Arabidopsis thaliana: one gene and its partners. The protein of the gene in region 1 purifies or fractionates together with the protein of each later gene. This does not show direct contact. Each region holds a gene or a part of one and is shown in the gene's direction. Other genes may lie near its edges. The genes, in order: LGO, AT1G06070, AT1G48510 and PMH1.

Evidence for each region.
Region 2: the proteins of LGO (region 1) and AT1G06070 purify together in Arabidopsis thaliana (affinity purification with mass spectrometry, with the first as the bait; one large-scale study listed by BioGRID). This does not show direct contact.
Region 3: the proteins of LGO (region 1) and AT1G48510 purify together in Arabidopsis thaliana (affinity purification with mass spectrometry, with the first as the bait; one large-scale study listed by BioGRID). This does not show direct contact.
Region 4: the proteins of LGO (region 1) and PMH1 purify together in Arabidopsis thaliana (affinity purification with mass spectrometry, with the first as the bait; one large-scale study listed by BioGRID). This does not show direct contact.

What each region holds. Positions count from the first base shown.
Region 1 is NC_003074.8:3,279,259-3,285,395, reverse strand, and holds LGO (LOSS OF GIANT CELLS FROM ORGANS), read left to right. Parts: upstream 1-3,264; 5' UTR 3,265-3,345; coding exon of another isoform or gene 3,346-3,375; 5' UTR 3,376-3,417; coding exon of another isoform or gene 3,418-3,433; coding exon 3,434-3,820; 3' UTR 3,821-4,090; downstream 4,091-6,137. Other genes in the region: AT3G10527 (uncharacterized protein), read right to left, coding at 3,346-3,375, 3,418-3,720. UniProt on the Arabidopsis thaliana protein: Probable cyclin-dependent protein kinase (CDK) inhibitor that functions as a repressor of mitosis in the endoreduplication cell cycle. Cooperates with SIM and SMR2 to promote endoreplication during leaf development.
Region 2 is NC_003070.9:1,833,213-1,841,414, reverse strand, and holds AT1G06070 (Basic-leucine zipper (bZIP) transcription factor family protein), read left to right. Parts: upstream 1-3,656; 5' UTR 3,657-3,987; intron 3,988-4,270; 5' UTR 4,271-4,298; coding exon 4,299-4,945; intron 4,946-5,168; coding exon 5,169-5,301; intron 5,302-5,385; coding exon 5,386-5,470; intron 5,471-5,807; coding exon 5,808-6,214; 3' UTR 6,215-6,586; downstream 6,587-8,202. Other genes in the region: AT1G06060 (LisH and RanBPM domains containing protein), read right to left, coding at 6,899-6,943, 7,049-7,140, 7,235-7,346, 7,454-7,529, 7,613-7,760, 7,854-7,995.
Region 3 is NC_003070.9:17,931,596-17,939,020, forward strand, and holds AT1G48510 (Surfeit locus 1 cytochrome c oxidase biogenesis protein), read left to right. Parts: upstream 1-3,150; 5' UTR 3,151-3,293; coding exon 3,294-3,438; intron 3,439-3,523; coding exon 3,524-3,615; exon of another isoform or gene 3,616-3,701; coding exon 3,702-3,931; intron 3,932-4,173; coding exon 4,174-4,366; intron 4,367-4,456; coding exon 4,457-4,743; intron 4,744-4,839; coding exon 4,840-5,056; 3' UTR 5,057-5,351; downstream 5,352-7,425. Other genes in the region: JAZ4 (jasmonate-zim-domain protein 4), read left to right, coding at 63-138, 1,385-1,557, 1,679-1,842, 1,937-2,021, 2,224-2,491, 2,593-2,653, 2,733-2,838. UniProt on the Arabidopsis thaliana protein: May be involved in the biogenesis of the COX complex.
Region 4 is NC_003074.8:7,884,373-7,892,599, forward strand, and holds PMH1 (putative mitochondrial RNA helicase 1), read left to right. Parts: upstream 1-2,903; 5' UTR 2,904-3,009; coding exon 3,010-3,438; intron 3,439-3,538; coding exon 3,539-3,666; intron 3,667-3,754; coding exon 3,755-4,166; intron 4,167-4,299; coding exon 4,300-4,398; intron 4,399-4,500; coding exon 4,501-4,725; intron 4,726-4,806; coding exon 4,807-4,968; intron 4,969-5,056; coding exon 5,057-5,434; 3' UTR 5,435-5,781; downstream 5,782-8,227. Other genes in the region: AT3G22290 (Endoplasmic reticulum vesicle transporter protein), read left to right, coding at 96-242, 423-531, 617-736, 821-888; RPS10 (ribosomal protein S10), read left to right, coding at 1,365-1,706, 1,858-2,241; NRPB5 (Eukaryotic rpb5 RNA polymerase subunit family protein), read right to left, coding at 6,673-6,798, 6,889-7,002, 7,094-7,273, 7,525-7,722.

The sequences.
Region 1 (6,137 bases):
ATGAACCTGCTAGTTTGATGGGACTCTTGGCGGTCTAATAATGAGTTATCAAATGTAACAATTAACTATCATTCACTAATCTAAGCTATTGCGATATTTGTTTTTGGTTAGCTCTAATATATATGTCAAATTAATATATATATATATATATTGTATGATTGATACAGTATTACTCGTTCATCTCTCAAAGCTATAATAGGGACTAGGGAGACAATTGGTTACGAAGATTCTAAACCATCCAAGGGAGAGCCCATTATGACCCTTATCTTTACTTTTTGGTGTCGATTGGTAATATATTCTTTGGAATTTTATGGTTTTTCTATTTATTATTGCGATATATAGCTAAACTATATTATTATAGAAATGATATTTTACGAATAAGTTCATGATTTGGAGGCCATGCACGTTACGTTTCACTTGCTTTCTTTGTCGACATTGTACATTACAACGAATAAAATGTTAAAACGGCAGTGGATGCTAAACAAATTCATTTTTAAAATTCACGTCAATACAAAAACTGTAATTAATATACCATAACTCAGATTTGCATGTCGCTTTACGTAATTACGTTTCACATGCGATCATTACAATATATCCGCTTTACAAGAAAAAGAAATGTCTGTAAATGAGCTCTTTACATCACCAAACACAGATACACATGGAACAAGAGAGTTAATCTATATTTAGAATACGTATTTTATTGATCTTGTTTAAAAAATATTTCCTTGAAAAGAAGAAATACTTTCTTTTAAAAATGTAACAACGAAATTTGATTTGCGACTTATTACGAATTTGAAAGCATTTTTTAATTAGTAAAATTACATATTAAATTCCGGTCTAATATATATACTCAAACAGTTTAATTTCATGTGATAGACACATGATTATTTGTCTTCTTCTATATGGGTGTGTACTAATTTTATGCATCTAACTTATATAATTTAAAGTTAACAAAAAAACACGGTCGAAACAAAAGAACAAACAGAAATGATTTGGAATCCTATGCATATGCAACAAAATTTGGATTGCCAAAAAAAAAAAAAAAAAAGACACGTTCATTCTTATCAATTTAGGTTCGTTTTCTTTGTTACCAACCTGTAACAGTGATTCTTGTGTCTACAATGTTCGTTCCTTGTTATCATCCTGTAATGGTAGGGCCATCGTGTCTTATGCCTCGAAAATATATGTGAGAATCTTTCCTTCAACTCAAGTTGTTAAACTGTCTATATTATGAATATATATCCTTTTTTTTCTGAGTGTATAGAACTTTTAATCGATTGACTAAGTAATAGAACTAGATCTAGAAGTTCTCTAATCTGATTTATTATATATGTCCTGCTTTTGTTCATTAATCTTTGCATTTCTAGGAAATATGTTGAAACTAATTCAGACAAGATCTATTTTGAATTACATAAATTATGATTTTATTGCAAGGAGTTTTTTTAATATAATTAATTATTATTACTATTATTACAAGTGCATTTTTAATTTGTAGGACATTGTGAGACTTTAAGATCAGTTGTTCTTATTTCTCGATTCCTTTTCCATTTACATTCCATTTAAATCTGGTATTGCTTTTAGACGATTCGTTTTGGCCAAAGTTTTAACAACCGTAAGTATATTGGACCACCGAAACTTCAACATCGATTATAATTGATGGATTCTAAATGCTACAGATTGTTTGATTGTGATCGTATGGTTTCGTGGCCTTACAAAATTACATCGACTTATCCTAATTCCTCATATACATATCTCTCTTTCCGTAAAAATCGAAGCAAGAAAACGTGTCAATGTCAATAAACAAAAAAACAAATTACAGTAACCAAAAGAAAAGAGAGAGAAGAACATAATAAGAGAGGAAGAAGGGTTGACAAAAAAAAGGGCCAGAGATTGAGATCCTGCGAGAGAGATCATATAGATCTTTCCATTTCTGTACTTTTTTAGTTAGATATTACCACTGACTCACTTACACAGATCTACTCTATATACAGTATATATCATCATCACATGCTTTTCTACGTGGCATGTCCAAAATATGTCATATTTTGCCGTAAAATTACTCAGCAAATGTAATAATTAATTACATAAATATACAGCTAGCTTAGCGAGTTTGTGTACATGTTAAGAGTACTGATAATTCTAAGAATGAAGACAAAAAGAACATCAACAACGTATAGCAAAGTATAAACTAAATTTATAATCGTACCAAATCTATTTTTCGGTTGTAATTTAATAATTAGATTTTGTAAACCAATGTAGATCTTACATTAAGTTGAAAAACGCAAAGTGTTTAGGATGAGTAAGCAAAGCAAACTCATGTTACAAGTCTAATAATTGTTCTATGGCATGGCAAAGGCTTACATTTTTTTCTACATTATTAAACTTGGCGTGTAAAACGTTGTGGGTCCACCGTATATGTTGAAATCATAATGTCACATAAAAATTATACAGCTTCTCACATTGGACATTAAGTAATTATTAAAGTAGAGGATACAGAAACTGATGCAATCAATTGTTTACATAAAATATAATGATGCATGGACTAGTTTTAAATCTAATCACATGCCATGTTTTTAGGTTTGTAATAGGTACAAGACACACATTTAACCAAACTTTATGTTTGAGATCTAAGATAAGACATTGATCTAAAATTTGTATATATATGTGTGTACTTTTCTTTACTACCTATAGATGGTATTACTATTACTTTGATGGTTCGAGTTTTTTTATTAAGTAAAAGTTTCTATATAGACACACTTTAATGTTCTTGTTGAGACCATAACCCACACGTCTTTAGATAGGAGACCGATGGTACGAGAACACCATTTGCGTTTGTTTCATGAGTTATGGCCCTCCTTAATTCACTCGCACTTCCAAACTTTAGAGTTTCATTTGTCTTTTGTAAACTTTTTGGGAAATCTCCAGTCATTTTTTTCACTTTTTTTTATTATTCAACAAATATTACAGTACAAAACTTAATATAGCTAGTCATCTTACTAAGGTCATCCCAAAGGTTTTAAGCAATCACTAACAAAATTAGGCAACCCTTACAAATTGTGAATCACATGTGCTCTAGCTAGTTTTGTACATAAACACAAATACATACAAACTATACAAGTAACTTACCATCCCTAGTAAATAATATATTTTTTTCTAAATTCGGAAGTTACGTCCATTTTCCCTTCCCATTTTATATAGTTTTACCTTACTTACTCCATACTATATTTTATATTTTATTTTCGTTTTCCATGCCAAAAAGTAACTCTCATTTCTAAATGCGACATTCTAACTTTATGTATGTATATACGTGTATGTAAAGACACAAACACATATAACAAACCCTTCTCAACCTCTCACTTCTCCAAGAAGTTTTCTCTACATCCACAAAAGAAAAAAAGTTTCCCAAAAAACAAAAACATACACAAGTTTAGATATGGATCTTGAATTACTACAAGATTTGTCCAAATTCAATTTCCCAACACCCATCAAGATCCGATCCAAAACCTCAAAAACAAAGAAGGACGAAGGTGATGACGACGAAGATGACCTCCGCTGCAGCACACCCACATCCCAAGAACACAAGATTCCCGCCGTCGTAGACTCTCCACCTCCTCCGCCGAGAAAACCCCGGCCACCACCGTCAGCACCGTCGGCTACGGCGGCTCTGATGATCAGATCGTGCAAGAGGAAGCTTTTAGTGTCGACTTGTGAGATAATCATGAATCGGGAAGAGATTGACCGTTTCTTCTCCTCCGTCTACAATGAGACGTCGACTACGGCTAAACGGCGGAGAAGTTACCCTTATTGTTCTCGAAGATGAGGCTTAATTCAATATTTACATTTTTTTACAGTTTTACTGGAAATATTGTGAAATTAATTATCTGTTGGTGTTCGGTTTTAAATATTTTTAATTTAATTATGAATATGGATGGATAATTTTCTGCAACCGCGCATATTAATTTCGCATGGAGGGGTCGATGTTGTAAATTGAGTAATAAATGAAATTTAATTCCAATTGCCAAGTTTTCTATACAATAATGTGATATTTATGTCATTTATAAGAGACAAGATCGTTTTATCATCCAACTTCATGGAAAAAATAGTTTCAAAACATATATTGTCGACTTCTAAAGTTGAAGAACGCGTTTACCTACTATGACCGATATGATGTAAAATATCCGCAGCCAATATGAAGGATCAAAATATCTCCTGGTAAAAAAAAAAATTGTGTTATATATGACGCATGCATGTATATGAAATCTTTGAACAAACTTTTGTATATATGTCGCCTGATAAAAAGTTATTTATCAATATATTAAATTACAGTGATGTTAGCTAGTGATCAAGCATTGCTTGCTTCATGAGCAATGGGTGGTACATGTTCTTTTAAATATAAAATCATTGCATTTATGTGAGAATATGATGGCAATCAAATCAAAAGATAACTATTACTCGTATAGTCTCAAACAATATAATGTCATAGAGTTTATTTTTTAATATACAAGTCGATATTTGTACATTTAACGTTTATTATGTTACTGTATCTTAGATTCCAATTTCATTCATCTAGGTTGAACCGAAAACGCTTTGGTACCTCTCACAATATATATTTTTCTCAGTTAGATAACTGATGTACATAAGAAATCACAATTACATAAGATACCAGTCGAAAAAACATTAATATTGTGTAGCGTTTCGAAAATATACTCTGTTTGAAACTTTGAATATAAGCGGGTTTTCACTGTAAGATGTTAAATTTAGAAGGATTTTTTTTTAAATCTATCGTAATATTAATGACAGCAATAAATTGGGTTATCAAAAATGCTAATGGCGTTTAAAAGTTTTTAGGTGTTAATTTGGTAGGAGATGTATCAGTTGCGTGTCCTACGTGTAATTGTGAAAGCAACAACGCAAAGAAAATGAAGCCTTGATGAAAATATATGTTTAAAACAAAATTAATTGACGGAAATAGTATGTTTTAAATTAATGTTCTAATTGTACAATAGAAAAAGCATGTACATGTACAAAACTCAGTTATATTGTAATCAAATTTATTGATCTGTAATTCATGCTTGTTTATGACTTTTTTGACCGGCCGATAGAGCGGCGGACGCAACTTTGGGATCTGAAGATATTAAAAGAAAATGTTCCTAAAGAATTCTAATATCGAAGTTGATTCTCATCGTTTCTTACTTTATTTCTTTATGATCTCAAAATCATCACCCTTTAGAAAATTTGTTTCATGACCAGAAAATATGCAAGTGTTAACATGTTTTAATTTAGACTGTTTTCAAAATTTACAGTTGTTATTTAGTAAAATTTAGCAATGAATACAAACAAAACGATACACCAAATTAATGTTTGTAGTATTTACTATTTAGTAAATGCATGGTACTGTGGTAGACTCGCTAAGTAAATTGCATGTGTTACATTTTAATATGTAACCAGTAACCTCATGCATGTGTATCTCTTTCAAGTTTCAACAACCTTTTTGTTTTTTAGAAGTAAAAACTTAAAATTCTTTAATTGGCGGACAGAAAGATAAGGCGATTACTCACCAGACCAACAAAATTAAATGGAAATTAAATACATATAGAGTAATTAAATGGCTCTGTGACCAAAACATGGAATTAATGGGCGTTATTCATTAGACCAGTAAAATTGACTGGAAATTAAATATATATAGTAATGATACGATGGTCCTGCGACGAAGGAGGAGCCATGTCTACGCAACTCATCCAATAAGCAACACAAGCTATTCTTTTTTACTTCTTTCATGATTGTCAGTTTCTTCTTTCATTTATTCTATCATTGCTTGAGATATGTATTCTTTAATAGAAGTTAAATAGTGTGTACATATACCATGTTGTCACTTTTTAACAAACAAAAAGTCATATGGTATCATCATCATGTCGCATGAAGAGGAGCTACAACATTTCTTGATTCATGCGTTACGTGGTCTAACAAAGGGAATGTGATGAATTGTCGCTCTGGGAGTAATTTCGAAACGAAAGTTTTCTTACCTAAAACTCTTTATTAATTATCTGAGTTTCTGTAGAGAGAAATAGCATCAATTTAAAGCTTGAAAAGTTTAACACATCTTTGACAAAACAAATTTAGGAAGACCAAAACCAAAA
Region 2 (8,202 bases), on another chromosome or scaffold:
AATAACAGAACAGTCAAAAACGCATGCTGTCGAAAAGATACTGCAAAGTGCAAATGCATATCAGGTTCATGGAGAAAATCATACAAGCTTATTTTTTTTATAAATTTCTTATACGATAAGAGAGTTAGAAATGTATTTATTAACTTGATATGATCAATGCAGAATGCCTAAAATATTTCTGCCGAGCATGGCTGATAGATGGATCATGGATAGTGGGTAAGTTCGAACCTCTTTAAATGCGAACACCATGTGTATGGCCATTTTTTCTTCCTTTCGGTGTCTAAAAATGTATACGAAGGAAAAATAAATAAAGAAAAGGAAATTAAAACATCAATCAATGGACCATTTCCACCATTGTACATAGAATATAGTCACTACTCATTTATCAATACTCTATATACAAATATAGATACCCATATCTCCGTACTTTGAACATGATCATAGCTAGCAACAGCAGAAAAATGGCCCATTTCATAAATCGTTCTACCTTCTACTTTTAATAGAAATCTTTTATATAGTTATCATATTAGCAAAATAATAGAATGTTTTCTAATTGATAGTTTTAATTTTATTGTATTATTTTATTCTTTGGACAATCTAAAAAAGTATATTTTTGCTTTTCTTTTTCTTTTTGGACAATAAGAATTACTAACTAGATTGACAAAAAAAAAAACTAATTAAATAGTATATTTTTGCTTTTCTTTAAATAGCAGAAAATATACTATTTCATTAGTATTTCTTATGTCCATATAAATAATATACTATAGAGCGAAAGAAAAAAATTATCATATCCACAATTTCTTTTCTTGTAATGTAACTTTATTACAACCAAAAAAAACTTTATACATTCAGATATGAAAAGTTTAGAAATGATTGAAAAAACTAAAGAAATGAAATTATTTGCGGTACAGGGGAAATCAGGCCATCTAGGCAGCTCAACTTCGAGTACCAAACCATACCGTATTAATTATAATCACTAATCTATAAAAAGTGAGTTTTATGTTTATGCAATGTATATACACAAATACACACAACCGCGTATGTTAAAGTTTGAGGTTATCTGTATCTCGATCAAAATATGAATAGATAATAACAATGAAAAAACGACTTTTGATCCATGGAAACATCTCTACACAAAATGTATTCCCCCATCCATACAGAATGATAACCCATCCACATCTTCGTAGTCTTAACATCGTAACAACGAAAACATTATTTACTCAGCTTAGAAAGAAAAAATCGAGTTCTTGTGAAATTTATTCATACATGCAAAGTAATTAATGAAACGGCAAATATTGTCTATCTCAGCTGATTTCTTTATCGATGTTTTATAACTAGCATTTTTGTTCATCTAAAATTATCGGGCATTATAATATATTAGCAGTTTTAAAAATCATTTGGTTCAAAAAAACTTCAGAAAGGTTATAAGTTAAAGAAAATTGAATTCACTTATAACTTATACTCCATGAATTCACTTAAAAATTGAATTCACTTAAAAGTTGAATTCACTTATAACTTATATAAGTTAGGAGATTTGAAAATAAAATAATAGAATGTATAAACCCTATAGACTACAAAAGAACTATTTCGTAGATTGTAAGAGAACCCACAGGCCACAGTGTGATAGATTCAACGTCATAACTACAGAAGACATTAATTAGATTTGGGACCAAAAAGTCAATGATGCACCTGCAAAAACCACAAGGGGTCCGACCCATTGTTTCTTTACCATTCACCAGTAACACAAATTTTGTTTTATATATATTAACCTATTATTAAGGTTAATTACAACATAAAAAGTAGTAAATGACGAATCACAGATCTCAATGAGGCTTCCTCTGTTTCTGGGATCCTAATGACAAATCTGATGTGGGTCGGTGTCCAATCCGGTTCTTTCTCTTTTGCCACCATTCAAGGCCATGCCTCGCCATTGATTCGAACCTCCACTGCTACTTTTTTACTGGACTATAAAAACATTGAAGTAAAAATATGCAAAAGTAAAAAAAAAACATATGATCTTTTGTCATCATTATTATTTTCCCTGACAAGTAATGAAAGGAATTCAAATATATTTTTATGACGATAAAAAAAAAATCGGACTCAAAGAATAACCTGAGACCCAATAGGTTGTTGGTAAAAACCTGATGTCTGAACAAGTCTGGGTAAGGTCAGAAGAAAAATAACAATGTTACTTTTTTTTGTGTGCACCTTTCTAACAATGTTACTAATTAATTAGTGTATCGTACTTAATAATGGTCTTGCTTCTCGTTTATGCTTTAACTAGCTAAATAACATATGGTCCAGTCAATCTTGGTTACCATTTTGACATCTCAATTTGCTTAGTGTTTGATTTTCTTGCTTTTAGTTAATCATCTTGATCTCCACAAAAAAATGGACACGCTGTTCTATGTACATAATGGAGCAGGTAGTTTTACTGTTTTATGTATCTTTGATCTACCATGAAAACAAGCATTTTTCTATAACTACAGAAACATATGAAGCAACTAAAAAGTAACATGAATACAAATAAACCCGACATGCACGAGCAGACTCTAGAGTGTAGACTCAAATTTTACATCCCCGTCAACCAGAAAAATAGTAAGTATTTAGAATTATTTAATACGAAAGCGAAATGTAGGTCCAATTAAATTCTCCAAGTAAGAAAAAAGCCGAACAATATATGACGATACCAAACCCTAAAACTGTGCAATAACACCTATTTTGTAGAAAACTACATTACGTACTCTGCTATAAAACTACATATCTATAATGGAACTTTTCAACCATTTTCTTTTTTTCATTTGAGAATCCTTTGTGAGTAACATAATTGTATATATACTTGCCTGACCATTTCAATTGGCATCATATTGCTGCCTTATTTCGTATGGGTTATGGGTACCCCCTAAGGCTTAACTTGTGACTATAGAGCCAACAAGGTCACGTGAGAATATATGCAGAAAAATTCACTGTAAAAAACACTATATATTTTACTACTTATTTTTCTTTTGATTATTACGAATATCCGGATTTTTTGGTAGAATGAAAATATTTCTAGCAAATAATTTGCAAATCCCATAATTTTAGGAATTGAATTGAAGTATGGCCAGACGAGGTTGTTGAGAGGAGTAAACACGCCCATTCAATTGTCAATGGGTGAGAGAGGTCGGTCAAGTGTGATGGGTAGTAGTACTATGGGCCCTATCTTTTACCATGCGGCCCATAAACGATGGCCCACTCTAGATTATTTTCAAAGAATATTAGTCCCCATGCTCCCTTATCCAGAAATCAACAACAATCACAGTACTTATAAGAGCGTTGACAAATACAAATAGTAAGAAACATATATTTTATGAAACTGAAATTGCAATGGTTTCAAACTCTTTCATTTCTCTTTTAAAATATTAGATTTTCATATGATTGAAAGAAATCGTACGTCAGCATTAATAATATTGAAAACATATCACATGGTTATAACTTCCTGGTTAGTATTTTCTTATAAAAGAAAAATTAGAAAGTCATCAAAAATAGTAGTAGTATTCGCAAGCAACTCTCGACGGTCCAACCAAAAATTAGCAACCACGTGAACCAATTTGACAAAAATAATTTATTTACGCTCTTCACGAACCAACCAGACATATTGATCATCATCCAACGGTCAGTAACATCGTTCATTGCAACACGCTAACGCAGCTGATTACACCCTAATTCCGACAAAAGTACCACTTACCCGAACCAAATTACGTTTAAACGACATCGTTTACGCCGTAAATCTTCTGATGCACACTAGTTCGAAGGATCCTTTAATGGGAGAGAGAATGTTCTACTTCTTCTTCTTCTTCTTCTTCTTCTTCTTCCTCCTCTCTCGTCGGATCTCTCTGATTTAGTGATTTTTCAAATTTCAAGTTTTCTTCACCTTTAATTTTGTGTCTCGTTGATCTCTCTTTGGACATTCTGCTTTGGATTCTGGAGGCTTCTCATTAGATCTCTGTAAGTGCGTGAAAACTCAAAAGATCCTATCTTTTTACTTATTTTAGGGTTTTCGTTTTGAATTAAGGCTAAGATAAAGCGTGTGATTGTTTTAGGGTTGTGTATCTCCTTAGTTGAGGAAACTGATAGCTAAGACGAAACCCTAATCTGTTCTAATATGGAATATAATCGCTGAGATAAAGCGTGTGATTGTTTCAAATGAATTTGATAGCTAAAGATGAAACCCTAATCTGTTCTAGTATGGAATATAATCTATCTTTTTTCGGGAATAAATGGTATGCAGATTAGTGGGTTTAGGTCAAGTTCTTGAAATGGATAAGGAGAAATCTCCTGCACCACCACCTAGTGGAGGTCTTCCTCCACCATCGGGTCGTTACTCTGCGTTTTCACCTAATGGAAGTAGCTTTGCAATGAAAGCTGAATCATCTTTTCCTCCTTTGACTCCAAGTGGAAGCAATAGCTCAGATGCTAACCGATTCAGCCATGATATTAGCCGAATGCCGGATAATCCACCTAAGAACCTAGGCCATCGCCGAGCTCATTCAGAGATTCTTACTCTTCCTGATGACTTAAGCTTTGATAGTGATCTTGGTGTGGTTGGTGCTGCTGATGGACCTTCTTTCTCTGATGATACTGACGAGGACTTACTCTATATGTATCTTGATATGGAAAAATTCAATTCTTCTGCTACATCGACTTCTCAAATGGGTGAGCCATCAGAACCGACTTGGAGGAATGAATTAGCCTCGACTTCTAACCTTCAGAGTACACCCGGTAGCTCTAGTGAAAGACCGAGAATTAGACACCAACACAGCCAATCGATGGATGGTTCAACAACTATCAAGCCTGAGATGCTTATGTCAGGGAATGAAGATGTGTCTGGAGTTGACTCTAAGAAAGCCATCTCTGCTGCTAAACTTTCTGAGCTTGCTCTCATTGATCCAAAACGCGCCAAGAGGTATTTTTTTCTTTTCTGAACAGTTTTCCTTCTATGTTTTTAAGAAGTTGTATAGTTTTTGGTGAAACATTATCTAGGGTTGTTGACTAAAAAGAATAAAGCTTGGCTGAACTGATCTGTTGGAGTTTTACATAACCCTTCATCTAGAAGTAGCTCACTCGTAAATTACGGTAACTAGTAATGAATTTGTATAAGATGCGTGACATGTTGTATCATTTGATAGGATATGGGCAAACAGGCAGTCTGCTGCGAGGTCAAAAGAAAGGAAGATGAGATACATTGCAGAGCTCGAGAGAAAAGTACAGACTTTACAAACAGAGGCCACATCTCTCTCAGCCCAGTTGACTCTCTTACAGGTTTGGAGACCAAATTTAACTCTAGACTAAGATATTTGTAAGTTTATGGTTGTAATCTTGTTCTCTTTTCATCCTTGTGTTCAGAGAGATACAAATGGCCTGGGTGTTGAAAACAATGAGCTTAAACTGCGAGTACAAACTATGGAGCAACAGGTCCACCTACAGGATGGTGAGGATCTTTTCTCACATACTTCCTAGGAGCTGATATTTCTTCATCTCTTTACTATCAATGCAAATAAACATTGTCAATGACTGTCGAAGGTGTAGTATATATGACATACCACATTCTGGATCTGTCAGTGTAAGATTGTATGCCATGTTTGTGGTCATACAAAGCTTAAAATACAGATCCAGAATCTTGAATAACACATAAACATACACCTTCAAAACTCAATGCCATTTCTCTGGTTAAGAAAGTCTATAAATATTTGTCCCCCGTCGAGATATTCGCTGCACTTTGTTGTGAATGCTGCTACTTGATTTAATCGTCTTTATCTGTTTGACAGCTTTAAATGATGCACTAAAGGAGGAAGTCCAGCATCTTAAGGTATTGACGGGGCAAGGTCCATCAAATGGTACATCAATGAACTACGGTTCTTTTGGATCAAACCAGCAATTCTATCCCAATAATCAGTCGATGCACACTATCTTAGCCGCACAACAGTTACAGCAGCTCCAGATCCAGTCACAGAAACAGCAACAACAACAACAGCAACACCAGCAACAACAACAGCAGCAGCAGCAGCAATTTCACTTTCAACAGCAGCAACTGTACCAGCTTCAGCAGCAGCAACGGCTTCAACAACAGGAACAACAAAGCGGGGCTTCAGAGCTAAGAAGACCCATGCCTTCTCCTGGTCAGAAAGAGAGTGTGACATCGCCTGATCGTGAAACTCCCTTGACAAAAGACTGAGTCTAGACTGTGCTAATGTCCAATTTAGTAAGTTACTCTTGGAAAATCTTCTTTTTCATCGCAGGCTCATGGATTTGGGATTTACTGCATTATAGAGTTAAAAACAAGACAGCTTAGAAGTTGCGGATTTAGAAGTTGTTAGTGAAGCTTTTGTTCTCGTCTGTTGGTAGTTTACAATCTTCTCTTTGTATGATCCTAAGCTCTTAAAAAGTTCTTGGATTTGGTCATTTGGTTAGAAATGGGTCCTTAGTCCAAGTCTGTAGTCGTTTAACCATATTCATATTCTTTGCCTTTTGTTCATTTTGGTTACTTGAAAAGTCTCATTTGGTCTTGAATTGTGATGTCTAAAAATAAAACCTTGAATTTGCAAGTATTCTATCAAAACATAAACGATAGTTACAAAGAGAAATGTGTATTCCAAAGATATGGATTACAGATTTATCGACTAAACTCACACAAAGTTGATGAAACAATCTTCTGGTAGAGAACTGAACCAAACCAAACCAAACCAAGCCGAAACTGTCCTTCACAATATTGATCTCCTGTAACAGCAAACTGAAACCCCGCCTGTGGCCATGGAAGACTAACCTTGCAAACTTTAGAGAGGAGCAAGGTCTTTTTGTATTTACATGACAATGCTTAGCATATCCTCCTCCTAGCAAACTTTGGAGTAGTCCTGCGATCTTAGCCTTTGAGAGAATCCTTCAGAGAGAATGGAGGAAACGCATCCTATCATAAGACATGAAATAGCGTTTAAACACAGGCACCTACTATTCCCAGGGCTTCTACAACGAATCAGATATATGAGTAAAAATACTGAAATACTACGATTACTTTGCCATTCTCCTCAGTCAAGTATTGTCTCACAACTGTCACCTGTTGTATGATCCTTTCCATTGGTGTGTAGCTCGGGTGGTTTGTGTGTTCTACATAATTTGAAGAATGAGTTAAAACTTGTAATTTGCTAAGGTCACAGGACGGTAGAGATTTTCGTGGAGGTAAAAATAAAAAAGAACTGACCAAGAATTGTGCGGTTCAGATTATCAGCAACTTGTTGGCGGTATTCAGAGCTCAAAAGATGGAACATTGGGGATTTCTCAGGGTCTTCATAAGCGAGCAATGCCATTACGTCCTGTCTCAGGAAAAAACAAATCTACCATCATTTGGAAGAACATAACAAGTAATCTACCAATACATCAAGACGAATATAATGGAGGATCAAACAAGATTCAGACTTACTTCAAGCTTTTCTACATATTTTTTGACCTTCCCAAAAGGAGCCAATCTTGTCTTACCAAATTTGAGAGCTTCGGTGCTGCACACGCAGAGAATCATTTTAAGATTACAGGCACAGATAAAACCAGAGTTTCTAATGGAAGACCAATCATAAAATCTCACCAGTTCCCAGCACAGATTAGCTCCACAAAATGAAGGCATAGAAGATCGAATTGCAAATCCTTGTTTTTCTCAAGCAAGTCTTGTGCTAGTTGTTCAGTTAGTTCAAAAGCCTTCAACGCCTTCCTCTCCAGTATAAAATGTATTATTTCTGAATAAGTGAACAATCAATCAAAACATATAATCACATAATTGCATAAGCACTCATTTAACAGCAGAACAAAAGATGACTTGTACAACTCACGTTTTCTTCTCTCCATGTTATCACGATCAATTGCAGGCTGCTTAACTCCAGTGGAAGAAGCAAGTGAGTCCGCAGTTTCGTTGAAGCAGTTGTGCAGAAGATATGACATAACAATGCTGTGAATATCATTATCAGCAACAACCTGGTTAACAAAAGAAAAGTCTTTAGAGAATAACACATTATACACAGTTTCCAGATTCCAATAACTTAATATAACACTGCAGTACTAAGGAAGATTAGTACAGCTTCCAATTCTGGATAAAAAGCCTCAAGATCTATTTCATACTAAGAACCACCACCAATACACAAGACGATAACTAATGCATATCCACTCATGAAAACCTAGAAT
Region 3 (7,425 bases), on another chromosome or scaffold:
CATTTTTTTTCTCCCCCGCGAAAGCTAAACCGTTTTTGTATTCTCAACGATTGATAAGCCTGATGGAGAGAGATTTTCTCGGGCTGGGATCAAAGTTATCTCCGATAACTGTGAAGGAGGAAACTAACGAAGATTCAGGTAATTCATCTTCAACATCTTCCATTATGATCTGATGATTGTGTTTTTCATCTCACTTTTTTTTGTTTCTATTTTTGTAATCTCTTTTTTTGTTTATTGTTCAAGTACATATATATTGTTTTTCTAGCTTGATTGGGAGTCCTACTGTCTGGTTTTTTCTTGAACAAGAAATTTTTTCTTCGTTTTCTCGGGAAGAGAAAAAATAAATTAGGGTTTCTTTTTTCTTGATATATATTTAAGAAATTAGGTTTTAGTACTATAGACAGAAATTTAGCTACTCGAATTTGTTTGACGTAGCCGATGAAAAAACACGTTTTGGGACTCGATAGTTAGAAAATTCATACGTTCACGATCTACTTTTGAAGTTTTTTTCATTAAATATTTTTTGCAAACTACAAATGTACAAGTATACAACTATACAAGCAAACACCAAACTTGTTGACGTTAGTAATTTAACAAGTGTTAGTATTATCTTTGAAAAATAATATTCAGAGAACAAACTTGATTTTCTAGGTGACTAGGTGATGCATGTTTCTAAAGCTGTTGGTAATGTTGAGTGTTTTCAAAATAATTTCGTTTTTTTCTTCAAACAGCCGACACCGACAGAACAAAAATGCTATATTTTTTTTGTTGCTTACAAAATTGATCAATTGGTTTCAATACAATAGTATCTTCTTTAGAAAAGATTGTTTTTTTCAAAGCCGGATTGAATATTGAGAATTAGAACATTGGCTGGTTATTCTTTTTGAAAAGTTTATGCCATTTTTTAAGGTTTATTAAGCAACTTGAATTCTATCAGTATTATTTAAAAACGAAGACGTGAAATGTTGGGAAAAGAATGCGTTATATAGCGACCGGCTGACGATTAGAGATTTAACAACAAATGCAAGTTGAATTATATAAAAGCAAGATTGATTGTGACTTGATTAAGTTTTATTTCTATCCAAGTAGACTCATTGATTAAGTTAGGATCATGTTGGGTATTAAATTTAGATCAAGTTACAATTTGGATGAATAATTTACTTACCCACGAGGAATTTAATAGTTAGTTCTTGTCTTTTTATATTCCGAAACGTGCCATTTCTTGAAAGTATTTGTATGATCACTATTTTCCCCAGTGTGTTTGGCTTTATGCAGATTTGTTCATTGTTGATGAATCTAATGTTAAGAGTCGTCCACTTTAGCATAGCTAGATCTGAGTGTTTCCTAGTTTGATAAAATCTAAAGACATTTGCTCATGTTTCAGCCCCAAGTAGAGGTATGATGGATTGGTCATTCTCAAGCAAAGTCGGTTCTGGTCCTCAGTTTCTTTCTTTTGGGACATCCCAACAAGAAACGCGTGTAAACACAGTCAATGATCATTTGCTTTCTTCTGCTGCAATGGATCAAAACCAGAGAACTTACTTCAGCTCACTACAGGTTAGGCTATTTCTTGAAAAGAAAAAAAGTAGTGATAAAGTGTGATTTAGTGACCTTGTAAGAAAGCTTGGCAATTGGTTTAGTTTCTTCTGGTCTCAAAATTGATACAAAATGATCTCAGGAAGACAGAGTGTTCCCAGGTTCCAGTCAGCAAGACCAAACAACCATCACAGTCTCCATGTCCGAACCAAACTACATCAACAGTTTCATAAACCACCAACATTTAGGAGGATCTCCTATCATGGCACCTCCAGTTTCAGTATTTCCTGCTCCAACCACTATTAGGCATGCACTGCATTCTATCTTCTTCTGTTTAACATCAGATACAGAACCTCTTTACTTCTATAGTTGACTCGAGCTCCTTTATGTTCATCTCCAGATCTTCTTCAAAACCACTTCCCCCTCAGTTGACAATCTTTTATGCCGGTTCAGTATTAGTTTACCAAGACATAGCTCCTGAAAAGGTAACCAAATTTCCTTCAATATGTGTTACATTACAGTCCAAGCTATCCACTGACTAAGTATTCAATCAAAGAAATAAGTTTCACGTATAGACATGCTGAAGTTATAGAAAGTTACTAACCTGGTTTCAACATACAGTATGTTAATGATTCATAGATATGATAAATCTTTGTCCTTACTTCTTCATTTATTTTGTATTCATAGGCCCAAGCTATCATGTTGCTAGCCGGAAATGGACCTCATGCTAAACCGGTTTCACAACCTAAACCTCAAAAACTGGTTCATCACTCTCTTCCAACCACTGATCCTCCAACTATGCCTCCTAGTTTCCTGCCTTCCATCTCTTACATTGTCTCTGAAACCAGAAGTAGTGGATCCAACGGGGTTACTGGACTTGGACCAACAAAAACAAAGGCGAGTTTAGCATCCACGCGCAACAACCAAACTGCTGCCTTCTCTATGGCTCCAACAGGTTATAAATGAAGTCTTAACTCCTATTAATGTTTTGTCATCAAACTTCTATCTTAGGTTTAGTTTGTTATAACCAAAAAATCTTGCTATGATTTAATACAGTGGGTTTACCACAAACACGCAAAGCATCCTTGGCTCGGTTCTTAGAGAAACGCAAAGAAAGGTACTGAGCTACAAGATTATTCACTTATTCACAATATCAAAACACAGGTTTGCTGTATATTGGCTTCGTTTTCTTGCAGGGTCATTAACGTATCACCTTATTACGTAGACAACAAGTCATCAATAGACTGTAGAACACTGATGTCTGAATGTGTAAGCTGTCCTCCAGCTCATCATCTGCACTAAAACCAATTTAGACCCCTCATTGTTCTAAAGGCTTTTTCTTTTTTCTCTGGCTCTGTATCCTATAGACTATAGTATAGTTGTTATAGCTTTTGTTTATTCAGATTTTAGTACACTGGGCTTGTAAAAGCAAGTTATTTATATATATCCTATAAATTTAATTTGGATACTGTATGTTTTGTCTTTACTCTTGCATGTGTATAAAAAACATAAAAGTAAGACTATTCAAGCTCTTCTAGATTTTGTTGAAGTCAACTTTATGTTTATACTTTTTTTTCGATAATTGATATAAAATATTTCCACCAGCAGATGAAAGTCATTTAATTAGTTGGTGCCATGTGCTATATCAGAAAATAAAACATTAGTTTATATACTTAATCAGTCCTCGTCGTCGTCGCCATATATAGTAGATCAAGAATCTTGGATGAGACAAAGAGAAGATCCTGGAGGAGAAAAAGATGACAAAACTCGTTTCCAAGATATTTAAGAGGTTGATTTCTCAAAGTCAGTACATGTCTTCTTCTACTACTAGCAATCTCCCTGCTGCTTCACAAACTTCCAATCTTGAGAGCCAATTGCTTTCTTCAGCTCCACCACCCGCAAGTATCTTGCACATGCTCTCTCTCGTCTAATTTGTGATTAAGTTCTGAATCTTGGTTCTGAATCTTTGTGTAAAAATGTTTTGCAGAGAAGAAAAGAGGGTCAGCGTTGTTATGGTACTTAGTTGGATTCACTACTTATGGTCTCGGTGAGACGTATAAGTTCCTACAAACACAAGTGGTCTGTGATTTTCATTATATACATTTTAATTATACGTGTTGTTCTTTGATCTGCTAAAGAATTTGTTCAAACTCTTTTGTTTCAAGTACAAGGAACATCTTGATTCTAGAAAACAATGCTTGGAAATGAAACCAATGAAGCTGAATACAACGAAAGATTTGGATGGGTTAGGATTTCGACGGGTGGTATGCAAAGGCATTTTCGATGAGCAAAGATCGATCTATGTGGGTCCAAAGCCTAGATCCATGTCTAAAAGTTCTGAAATTGGCTTTTATGTCATTACACCTCTTTTGCCAATCCCTAATGAACCTAATAGGTCAGGGATTTACTCTCTATATGCGCAAACCAAACTAAAGTCTTTTTGATCTCCATATATACCATCTTGATGCAAATATCTTTTTTCTTGTATATTTAAGTGTTTGGATGCAACATCTAGACTAGATGCAAATACTTGCAAATTTTGTGTCTCTTACAAATAAGGTTGCATACAAATGCACCAAAACAAACAAACAAACAAACATGGTCTAACTATCTTTTTCTTCTTCCTTTTGTCACTAGTATGAAGTCCCCTATTCTAGTAAATCGCGGATGGGTTCCTTCGGATTGGAAAGAAAATTCTCTAGAATCTCTAGGTACTGGTGGTCTTGTTGCTGCTGCAAAAGAGTCAAGAAAAGCTAATAAACTTCTCTCCTCTCAACAAAGTCTCTTGTCGAAGTTCTGGTACAAGTTGAACAACCCAATGATTGTTGAGGTTGGTCTTCATTTCATAAACTTAATGAGTACTCAATCATTCATTGCATGATTTGATATCATAGTTAAGTGTTATTGGAATATTTTTTAGCAGGACCAAGTCTCTAGGGCTATGCATGTGGAAGTGGTGGGTGTAGTTAGGAAAAGTGAAACTCCAGGCATATATACTCTAGTAAATTATCCAAGTTCGCTTGCGTGGTTCTACCTTGACGTTCCTAAACTAGCTCTAGCCATGGGGTTTGGTGAGGACACAATGTATATAGAGAGTACGTACACAGATATGGATGAAAGTAGAACTTATCCAGTTCCAAGAGACGTTGAGAACTTGACTCGTAGTAAGGATATACCACTGGACTATCACTTGTACACAGTTTTGTGGTAATTAACAAACATAACATCGAACTTATTGCACTAGTAACTGGTTGTTTTTGTTTGTTTGTTTATGGTAGTGTGCCTGATTGTTTCTATATGCAGGCACTGGAGTTCCCTGACTTGCTTTATTAAGGCGTCTTCGATTTTAATGCGAAGATTAACAAAATCTGATCCTATTGGTGTAGAGCCAATATTGATTCCAATTTCCATTCTCGTTTTTATATGTACCAAGATATACAGTCTTCGTAACTTATTTTGTAAAATAGACACTATTGGTGTTGGGTGTGTCACTAAACTCGACACAGGAAAAGTCAAATGACATGCCCAATGAAGTCCATAATGAAGGGTGAATAAGTTCGAAATCGCGGTTCGGATTGACTAAGATCGGTGGCCACCAGAAGATCGCAGAGAGGATATGGATTGTGAGCTTGATTATAAGCAAAGGAGAAGAGAGATAAATGGGATAATTTTATTACGAACCAGAACTTTTTGTATTCAATCAATTTTCCCGTATGTATTCATCTCTTAGAAACATCTCGCATCTTAAACATCATCATTTGTACTCTTCATTTGTATTATCAGTAAAACAATGGGAAAAATGTCATTTAATCCTCCAATTTTCAAAAAATGGTCATTTTATACATCAACTTCGTATGTGGCCGTTTAAAACATGAACTAAACGTTGACTAATTTTTAAAACATGATCTTTCGTTGATCAGGCCAGAATAGACATGCCGTTGTCAGTCATTAACGGAACTTTTAACGTCCTTTATCATCCGTTAACTTTATTAGTCAAGTTTCAAATTGTGGTCATTTTAAACATCAACTTCTTATTTGGCCATTTAAAACATGAACTAAACGTTGACTACCATTTAAGACATGAAACATTCGTTGACCAGGCCAAAATAGACATTTCTTTATCAGTAGAACCTAGAAATAATAACTGTTAATCTGTCCAAAACAACGTCGTTTGAGAATAATCGAAAGAACACAAAGATTTTTTCCATATGAAATCTCCATATCAAAAGTTTTAAGCAGAACCCAAGAACATAGTTTGATAAAGAGATAATCGCAGTGCCAGTAATTGGAAGCAAATAAAGGTGTTTTCGTTTATATATTTGTTTTAAATTTTAAAGGGAATCATGAAAGCAAATTGAAGACTCATTATAAGATTGTTCGTCTTGTTTGAGCGGTTGTAGAAATAGATTTGGGGAACTGGGGTTTCATTTAGAATCTTTTGATTATTCTCAAAACAAAGTCGTTTTAGGGATACTAATAGAGTCGTTAACAAGTGATAATGAATTTTATAAGTTCTTCTAATGAATGATGACAACATGTTTATTTTGGCTTGGTCAACGAATTTCTCATGTTTTAAATGGTAGTCAACGCTTAGTTCATGTTTAAAATAGTCACATATAAAGTCGGTGTTTAAAATGGCCACAATTTAAAACTTGACTAATAAAGTCGTTAACGGATGATAACGGATGTTAGAAGTTCCGTTAATGACTGATAACGGCATGTCTATTTTGGCATGGTCAACGAATAATCATGTTTTAAAAGTTAGTCAACGTTTAGTTCATGTTTTAAACGGCCGCATACGAAGTTGATGTATAAAATAGCCATTGTTTGAAAGTTGGGGGATTAATTGACATTTTTCCCGTAAAACAACATTCAGCTATTACAATGACAGATTATTTGTTGTAAGTTTTCTTGGAACCAGCAGCTCATGACTTTGCCAAAAAATGTGTACTTATTCGTTAAGTGTAATTAAAACACGTTTCTTGAGCTTGTTTGGTGTTTTCTTTTGTTTTCTTGCAGGGTCATTAACGAATCACCCTATTACGTGGACAACAAGTCATCAACAGACTATTGAACACGGTTGTCCGATTGCGTTATTAAGCTCTCCTCCAGCTCATCATCTGCACTAAGACAAATTTAGACCCCGACCATTTTGAGTATATATATGAACGTATCGTAACTATAGTATAGTGTATAGCTTTTGTTTCTTCAGATTTTGATAGGAAGGTTTAGTTTTGGAAATTGTATCTATTTGTCTTAACTCTTGTATATGTGTAACAAAAGCTTTAAATAAGACTACATGCATCCTGGCATTCTCACATCGGAAAAACGTTTTGAGCTAAGAATCCGACAATAAACTTTGCACCATCTTCGTTGGAGTTTTCAAGGGACTTATCGATGAGCAGCTCTCTTTATAGAATATTTGGCAATTTCTATTATAGCCTCTCTAAGCTTTGTTGGACCCACTGGTATAAACAAACTTGTGACACACTGACACAAGATCTAGAAGACCAGTTCTTGGCTTAGAAGAGAAGAAGGTTTTGGCTTACCAAAGCTCTTATTTATAAACGTTTTAAATGTTTATAGTATTAAGACTTTTATTAAATTTCAAATATTATAATATTTGAATTTTATATATATATATATTTTTTTTTGATGACTTTTGGGAAATCAATAAAGGGTTTACTACACTATTTATTTATGGAAGAATGAATGCTATTGAATTTAATTCTTAAGATTTAGCATATTTGATGAAAAATAAAAAATATCTCGACTCATTGTTTTTAAAATCTCAAGCTAATCGATGGAACCGTACGGAACCGTCTCAGCACAATCACAGCCACTAGCAACCATCGTTACAAGGATGGCCTGCAGCTTTGGTTCTCCACA
Region 4 (8,227 bases), 4.6 Mb from region 1:
AATTACTCTCATAATTTGTGTTTGCACCTCATTCACTGACTTACTACTTGATATTCCTTGTTAGTATATAACTAGTCTCTTTACTCTCTGAACAGATATTTGGCGGGTCCAAAAACGTAAACGTGAGCCATATGATTCACGATCTATCATTTGGGCCGAAATACCCCGGAATTCACAACCCACTTGATGACACCAACCGAATACTCCATGACACCAGTGGAACATTCAAATACTATATTAAGGTGTTTATCCAAATTCGTTACTCTTCTTGTACTCGTATCTCTCCGCTGGCTGTATATTTTATATACTTCATTATTTGTTTACTTTGAAGTTTGAAATCATTTACCTGTATGATCCATTTTGTTTCACACAAATCCGTATTTGTAAGGTAAGGTCACTAAATTCTTTCTAATATGGCGCAGATTGTTCCCACAGAATATAGATATCTTTCAAAAGACGTACTGTCAACAAATCAGTACTCTGTAACTGAATATTTCACGCCAATGACTGAATTCGACCGTACATGGCCAGGTTAGTCGATCAAACTTCATTTCCAGTATGCACCTGGTTCTTATTACTCTCTTTCTGTTTTCTGATGTATCTTTTTTTCTTCCAGCTGTTTACTTCTTATATGATCTTTCACCTATCACTGTGACCATCAAGGAAGAACGCCGTAGTTTTCTCCACTTAATCACTCGTCTTTGCGCTGTATTAGGCGGTACATTTGCTTTGACAGGTTAGTCCCATCTCAGTCTTGCCTCCAATACTCAATCTTTCAAAATCTTTTGCCTAATATAGTTTATCTCATACCTTAAAACAGGAATGTTAGATCGTTGGATGTTCCGCTTTATTGAATCTTTCAACAAGAAGCCGAGTACTAGAGCGTAAACTAGCTGAAACAGAGACAAAACAATGAGAAACAAAAAAAACCAAAGGAAGGAAGAAGAATCTCTCAAATCCCAAAACTTGTATCTGCCTTCTTCAGACAACAACACCCACCAGAGATTCCAGGATTGATGATTACATTACTCAGAAACTCTAGAATCCATGGATATAGTTTTTTTTTGAGTCTCTCTTATGTATTACTCTGATTATCTCTGGTTAAACTAGTAGAGTTAATTTGTAATTTTTATTCACCTTGCTTCCTGGGATTTTAACATTTTTGCATCTTTTCACTTGTCTCAGTAAAAAAACAAAATTATACTGTAGCTCACCGTAAGATAACGTACACTCGTCACAGGTGATCCTGTCCTCACAATTCTCTCTGATTTCGCTTACTCTTTCACTGAAACCCTAATTTGGGGTTTTTCAGATTTCCTTCAATCTCTCGTCGTCATTTCTTCGTCTCACCGTTGAATCTGAAAATGATCGCCGGAGTATTGCGCCGATCTTCACTCCCGTCGAGGCAGACTCTCTCCGCCGCGTTAGCCTCCTTCAATTCGTGTATTTCGCACAATCTCACTCCAGCCACCACCGGAGCTTCCGTCAGCTCTCGATTCACTCTCGCGTCGTCTCCTAACTCGTTTGGCATCAGAGCGAGGAACATCCACATTAGATCTGAGCCGTCGATGATTGTTCCCGCAGGAATCGCGTCACAAGGTTACGCCACTGTCACAAAGGATCGCAAAAACGAGATTAAGAAAGCTAAGATTAAAATTTCTCCAGACAATGTCAGACCATTGAGTAGGAAGGAGATCGCTCTCCAGGTATATGCATTTTTGTTCAAATTCATAGAATATTATTCAAAGTGCTTCATCAGATTCAAATTCGAATAGGAATCGGAATGTGAAATTCATTGAAATGATTTAGAACTGTTGTTTATGTTGTTGTTGTTGTGTGTTTGGGGTTGAATTGTAGAAAGAGGCAGCAGAAGAAAGCACATCAAAGATAAAAGGAACAAAGATTTGTATAGCGATTCGGTCTTTTGTTAACCCGGAAAAGCAAGCTTGGTGTCTTCCTCCTCACACTCGTAAAGTCGCAATGCCCGATACACGAACTCTGTACACGGTGCTAAGATCGCCTCACGTCGATAAGAAGTCTAGAGAACAGTTTGAGATGAGGTTCAAGAAACGGTTTCTTGTCATCAAAGCTCAGAGTCATGAGTTGAGCAAGAAGCTGTTTTGGTTAAAACGTTATCGTATTCTTGGAGCTCAATATGAACTCCAGTTCCATTGCAAGACCCGTTTGGATATGACTCAAGTGTTAGGCAACATCAATGGCTCCACCACCAATGCTTACTGAGATGGCTAAAGACATCATTTTGTAGAAGTTTCAAGACCCAACCGGGTACTATGCAATAATTTCGAACCTTACGGATCCATGAAACCAGCTTTGCTTCACATCAGATCAAGTAGTTATTTTCTTGCTTAGTATAAACATGTGTTTTTGGACGATTTTGAAAGATACAATTGAGTTTCAGTTACAGTGCTTTCCATTTATTCATTAGCCAATCAAAGTCTTTATACATCACCAAGGATTGAGACACATTTAGACTGCTAAAGGTGTCATTTTGAGAAGTTATAGAAACCTTTGACCCGACCATGGAATGATGTCGAACTTTAAGGATCCAAGAGCTCACATTTTAGGTGTATTCATTCATTAGGCAATTCTAAGACTTTTACATTGTACATAATCACTAATGATTTGAGACATATGGTATAGGTTAATTTGATAGATCTGATTCCGAACCTGAGCTATTGCCAATTTGCCACACTACACAAAGTTACAAAAAACAGAACTCATTAACTCTTTGCTTCACATTCAAGAACACCTTTGGGCTCAAGCAAAAAATAATAATCAACTCTGTTTCCTTACACAAGCTTGCACGTGTAGGAACATACCATACACTCACCCGCAGGTGATTATAACAAAGTTCCCTTTATACCCGCCTTTGATTCTTCTTCTTAAATCTCTAAACCCTTTTGCCGTCTCCCTAAAACCCTAATTCTCATTTCTGGGGTTTCACATTTCATCTTCACCAGAATCCATCACACTCTCTGAAATCTGAAAATGATTAGCACAGTACTTCGCCGATCTATCCTTGGTACGTCAAGGCGTACTCTCGCCGCTTCGGTGACCTCCATTAACGCAGCTCTATTTCATAACCTTGCTCCAGCCGCCGCCACAGTCTCCGATCTAGCAAATGGAGCTACTAATGTCAAGTCTCTCCCTTCGAATTCGAGCCCTTTTGGTGTTAAAGTGAGAGACTTTCATGTTAAATCTGTACCGTCGGAGTTTAGATCGTCGATTGTTTCTTCTGCGGGATTCGCGGCTCAAGAGTATGCTCCTTCTTATGAGAACGATGGAGGGATTGGAGATTCGGAGAGTGTTGGTAGCAGCGGTGGTGGTGATGGGCTTGCGATAGCTGATCTTGGTATATCTCCGGAGATTGTTAAAGCTTTGAAGGGTAGGGGTATTGAGAAACTCTTTCCTATTCAGGTATATATGATCTTCTTCTCTGTTCCATTTGGTTATAGAGATCAATTAAAAGTTTAGATTTTTTTAACTGAGTTTTTGATGTTTGTGTTTGGTTGAATAGAAAGCTGTGTTGGAGCCAGCGATGGAGGGTCGTGATATGATTGGCCGTGCAAGGACTGGAACGGGAAAGACACTTGCTTTTGGGATTCCTATTATTGACAAAATCATCAAATTCAACGCTAAACATGGGTTTGTGTTTACTGTTATATATAACGATCATTTGTGATTGAGAGATTTGCACTTCCTTTGGTTCTTATGTTGTCTTTTGATGTGACAGTCGTGGGAAGAATCCTCAGTGCTTGGTTTTGGCACCGACGAGGGAGCTTGCTCGTCAGGTTGAGAAAGAGTTCAGGGAATCTGCTCCAAGTTTGGATACTATTTGTCTCTATGGAGGTACACCAATCGGGCAACAAATGAGGGAGCTGAACTATGGTATTGATGTGGCGGTTGGAACTCCTGGTCGTATCATTGATCTGATGAAAAGGGGAGCTTTGAATCTATCAGAGGTTCAGTTTGTGGTTCTTGATGAAGCTGATCAGATGCTTCAAGTTGGATTTGCGGAAGATGTTGAAATAATATTGCAGAAGTTGCCAGCGAAGCGTCAGAGTATGATGTTTTCTGCAACAATGCCAAGTTGGATCAGATCTCTCACCAAGAAGTACCTGAACAATCCTTTGACAATTGATCTTGTGAGTAGTCTTATACCTGCTTGTGTTTATATCTTAGAATTGCTGTACAAATTGCAAATATTGATCTTGGCTGTAGCAGTGTAGTTAATGAAGTGACATTTTTTAATGACACATGTACTCTTATGTAATTTAGGTTGGAGATTCAGATCAGAAACTTGCAGATGGGATTACTATGTATTCTATCGCTGCAGATTCTTATGGAAGAGCATCCATCATTGGTCCTCTTGTAAAGGTATGTTTTCTTTACTTTGCTTTTAAGCCAATTATCTGTATCTTGTTTTGATTCTTCATTTTTGTTTCCAGTCGTGATTTTATAACATCTTCTCCTTTACAGGAACATGGCAAAGGAGGAAAATGCATTGTCTTTACCCAAACAAAACGTGATGCAGATCGCCTTGCATTTGGATTGGCAAAAAGCTATAAATGTGAAGCTTTACACGGTGACATATCTCAAGCTCAGAGAGAAAGAACACTTGCTGGTTTCAGGGATGGGAATTTCAGTATTCTTGTTGCAACTGATGTTGCTGCCCGTGGACTTGATGTACCTAATGTCGATTTAGTGAGTGAAAACAATACCTTTTCTTGCGCTTAACTAGTTCTGTTTCTCATTTTATTAACCTGTATTGTGCTTTGTGTACAGGTAATTCATTATGAGCTTCCTAATAACACGGAGACGTTTGTTCACCGAACGGGGCGAACTGGTCGTGCTGGAAAGAAAGGAAGCGCGATTCTCATCCACGGTCAAGATCAAACCAGGGCTGTTAAAATGATTGAGAAAGAAGTCGGAAGCAGATTCAATGAGGTTAATATCTTTCTTTACCACCTTTGTATCTTTTGTATGAATAGCTTGGGTAACAAACAGTTCTGAATCTATTTGGTTTTGAATTCAGCTGCCTAGCATTGCTGTGGAAAGAGGAAGCGCAAGCATGTTTGAAGGAGTAGGTGCTAGATCTGGTGGGTCGTTCGGAGGAGGTCGATCAGGCGGTGGTGGGTATGGTAGTTACGGTAGCAGCAGTGGCCGTTCAGGTGGTGGTAGTTATGGAGGTTATGGTGGCAGCAGTGGCCGTTCAGGTGGTGGTGGTGGTAGTTATGGAGGTTCAGGGGGATCAAGCAGCCGTTACTCTGGTGGTTCAGACCGCTCATCTGGTTTCGGAAGCTTTGGTTCAGGCGGTTCTTCAGGAGGATTTGGTTCAGACCGTTCTTCTCAGTCAAGTGGAAGGAGCAGCTTTGGTGGGTTTGGATCAAACGATGGTAAAAGATCTTACTGAGAGAAGTGTTGTGTTGGTTTTGACCCGACTCAGCAATAATGGAGTTGACTTAGGAGAGAACTCGGTATCTCGAGTTGAGTAGTTTACAAGGAGTCGAGCTATATATAAATTCTGTAGCTACTTCTTGTCTCATAAACCAACATAAGTTATATCATTATTTCATATCCTCTAATTCATTTTTATTTCTCAATTTGAGTGAAATGTGTTTCCCTTACTTCGCCACTTCCATTTATGAATCTTGTTAGATTGTGAGAAAAGGAAATAATGTGGTTGATCAAAGATTCAAATCATCCCTAGTTTTGATTTCTTGTTAGATCTTGCAAGTTTTTGGTAGAACCATACACAAGAAAAATTGTTTTAAGCTTTAATTCTCATATCTGACCAACAAAAATAAAACACAGTCGACAATTATTGTTCACTACAAAAAGCATTACTCTTATGTTTCACAACTAATTAGCCTTCATTTCGCAAAACTTGATGCACTGCATAGCAAGAGCATGCAACTAGCTGCTGAACGAAAAGGCTTGGCTCTGCATAGCTAGCATAATAATACCAAGCTCCTTGGGTGTGATCCCCTTTGCAGTGAATCCAGATTTAGTTTCATCCAGTCTTATAGGCCCAAGAACGGGTTCTTGTACACATACTTGGTGATTCTGAGGGTTACAAAGCTGAGATCCCATAAACGTTGAAAGGCGTTCAGGTGGTGGTATAAGAATCATTGAGATGAGTAAAACAGTCAACACCACCCACAAGGGCATGCAAATCAATGGTAGCCATCTCAACACCATCCCCCAGCTTCTCCATTTGGAGACATTTTGAAAAAAACTCAAGAACGGCGCCTGTACAACCGTCAACACTCATCCACAGCTGATCTGAAGTCAGTAATACTCTGGAAGAAGTATCAGTTTTGAACATTTTAAAAATTGATATTTACGATTTTTTTCTTTTTAGGGTGTTAAGGAATGGGGATTATCGACAAACAAGTGATGAATCAGATTATTAACAAAATATGGCATTTGTTGGGATGAACAAATACAAACAAGTCGGAATCGGATCTTGCAAGTTTTTGGATAGAAAACTAATACAAATAAGTTGTTTCAAGCTTTAATTTCTCCTATCGGACAAACAAAAATAAAACACAGTCATCAGTTTGGTTTAGTACAAAAGCATTACTCTTATGTTTCACAACTCTCAGCGTTCAATTCGCATTACAATCCACAAAAGCCTTTTGCTTTGGCTTATACAACATAACGATAGGTAACATAACGACCAGCCGTTTCACTCGGACGAATGATCTTCACGACTTGCCCACGTTTTAGTCCAAAGTATCTTGCGATTGGATCAGTCACTTGGATCCTTGGAAGCTAACAACACCCACAAAGTTCCAAACATTTAATAACACAACAAAAATTTCATCACCAAGAATTCAAACAAAGTTTCTATATACTACTAACCTGTGTCTCCTTCACTGTGTATCTCTCCAGTAAAGTTTTCTTCTCTTCAGTGGTAAGAACTTGATGCTCAGGAACAAGAACATGTTCTTTAATGTTCACTAGCATTTCCGCCTCCTGCAGCATCCACCACCAAATCATGGTTTAGTAGGATTGTGATGTGGATACATCATCATCAAGAGTCAAGACACAAAGTGATTTGTTTTACCTGGAAAACTTCCAGATGAAACTTAGAAGAGATCTCACTAATGCAAGTTCGAGCAAACGGGGTCAAGTTCTGTTGCACAACCAAAATAGCTCTGAACACATTCTCTGATTTCATCCTGTTCGTGTACATTTTCATCGTCTTCACACCAACTTTCGCCTCATCAGGGAAGAATATATAGAGCTACAACAAGAGCACATGAATCAGCGACTAAATCAAACACACATAAACAATCTTTCTACCATATCCACAGCTTCTTAGAGATTAAAGAGATGACATTTATCTATACTTTTGTCAAAATCTAGCTCTCTGTAACATTCCATGTCTACTTACTATTCACATTCAACAACTAGATAAATAATGATAGTCTCCAGCTAAAGAACACTAAAGAGAAGCTGATAATCACATTGAAGGAGAGACATACAACTACAAACCTGATCACTATTATCATTTCGCTTAGCCTTAAGAGTAACAAGATCCTCTCTTTTCATGTTATCACCATGTTTCCTAATAAACTGTTGTTTAGTCATCGTAAGTTCAGAATCCGCGATAAAATATCCACGATCCCTTAACATCTGCATCAACGTCTTCTGGATTCTGTACAATCTTTTGAGCTCCTCTTCCGTCAACATCTTCTTCACCAAGTTATCTGCAGCTTTACCAAAACCATATCAAAATTAGGGTTTTTCAAAAATTGACAGAAACAATTAAGAGTTTATCAATCTCTTTGAGAATATATACACAGATACGAAAACTTACGAATAGAGACAAATCCACAGAGATGATTGAAGAAGCGATTTACAGAGAGAACGACAGTGGAAGAAGAAGAAGAAGAAGCGGCGTTTCAAGCTTTCTCCTTTTACCTCGAACCCTTTTCTCAATTCTATTATATTGAAGCTTTTATTGCATTTGAAACTCCCAATTTATACCGACTTTATGTTTTAACCCTCAACTTTATTTTCGATATTTAAACTCCAATCCTTAATAGCCTGATAAAGGCCCAATGGGCTTGTACGACCCAACATACTTAAACCCTTTAGTTGATTTTTCTCAACTTATTACACTGTTCTTGTTGGAACTAAAACCCTTTGCCTTCTTTCTTCATCTCTCTAAATCCCTAATTCTCCAAATTTTGGG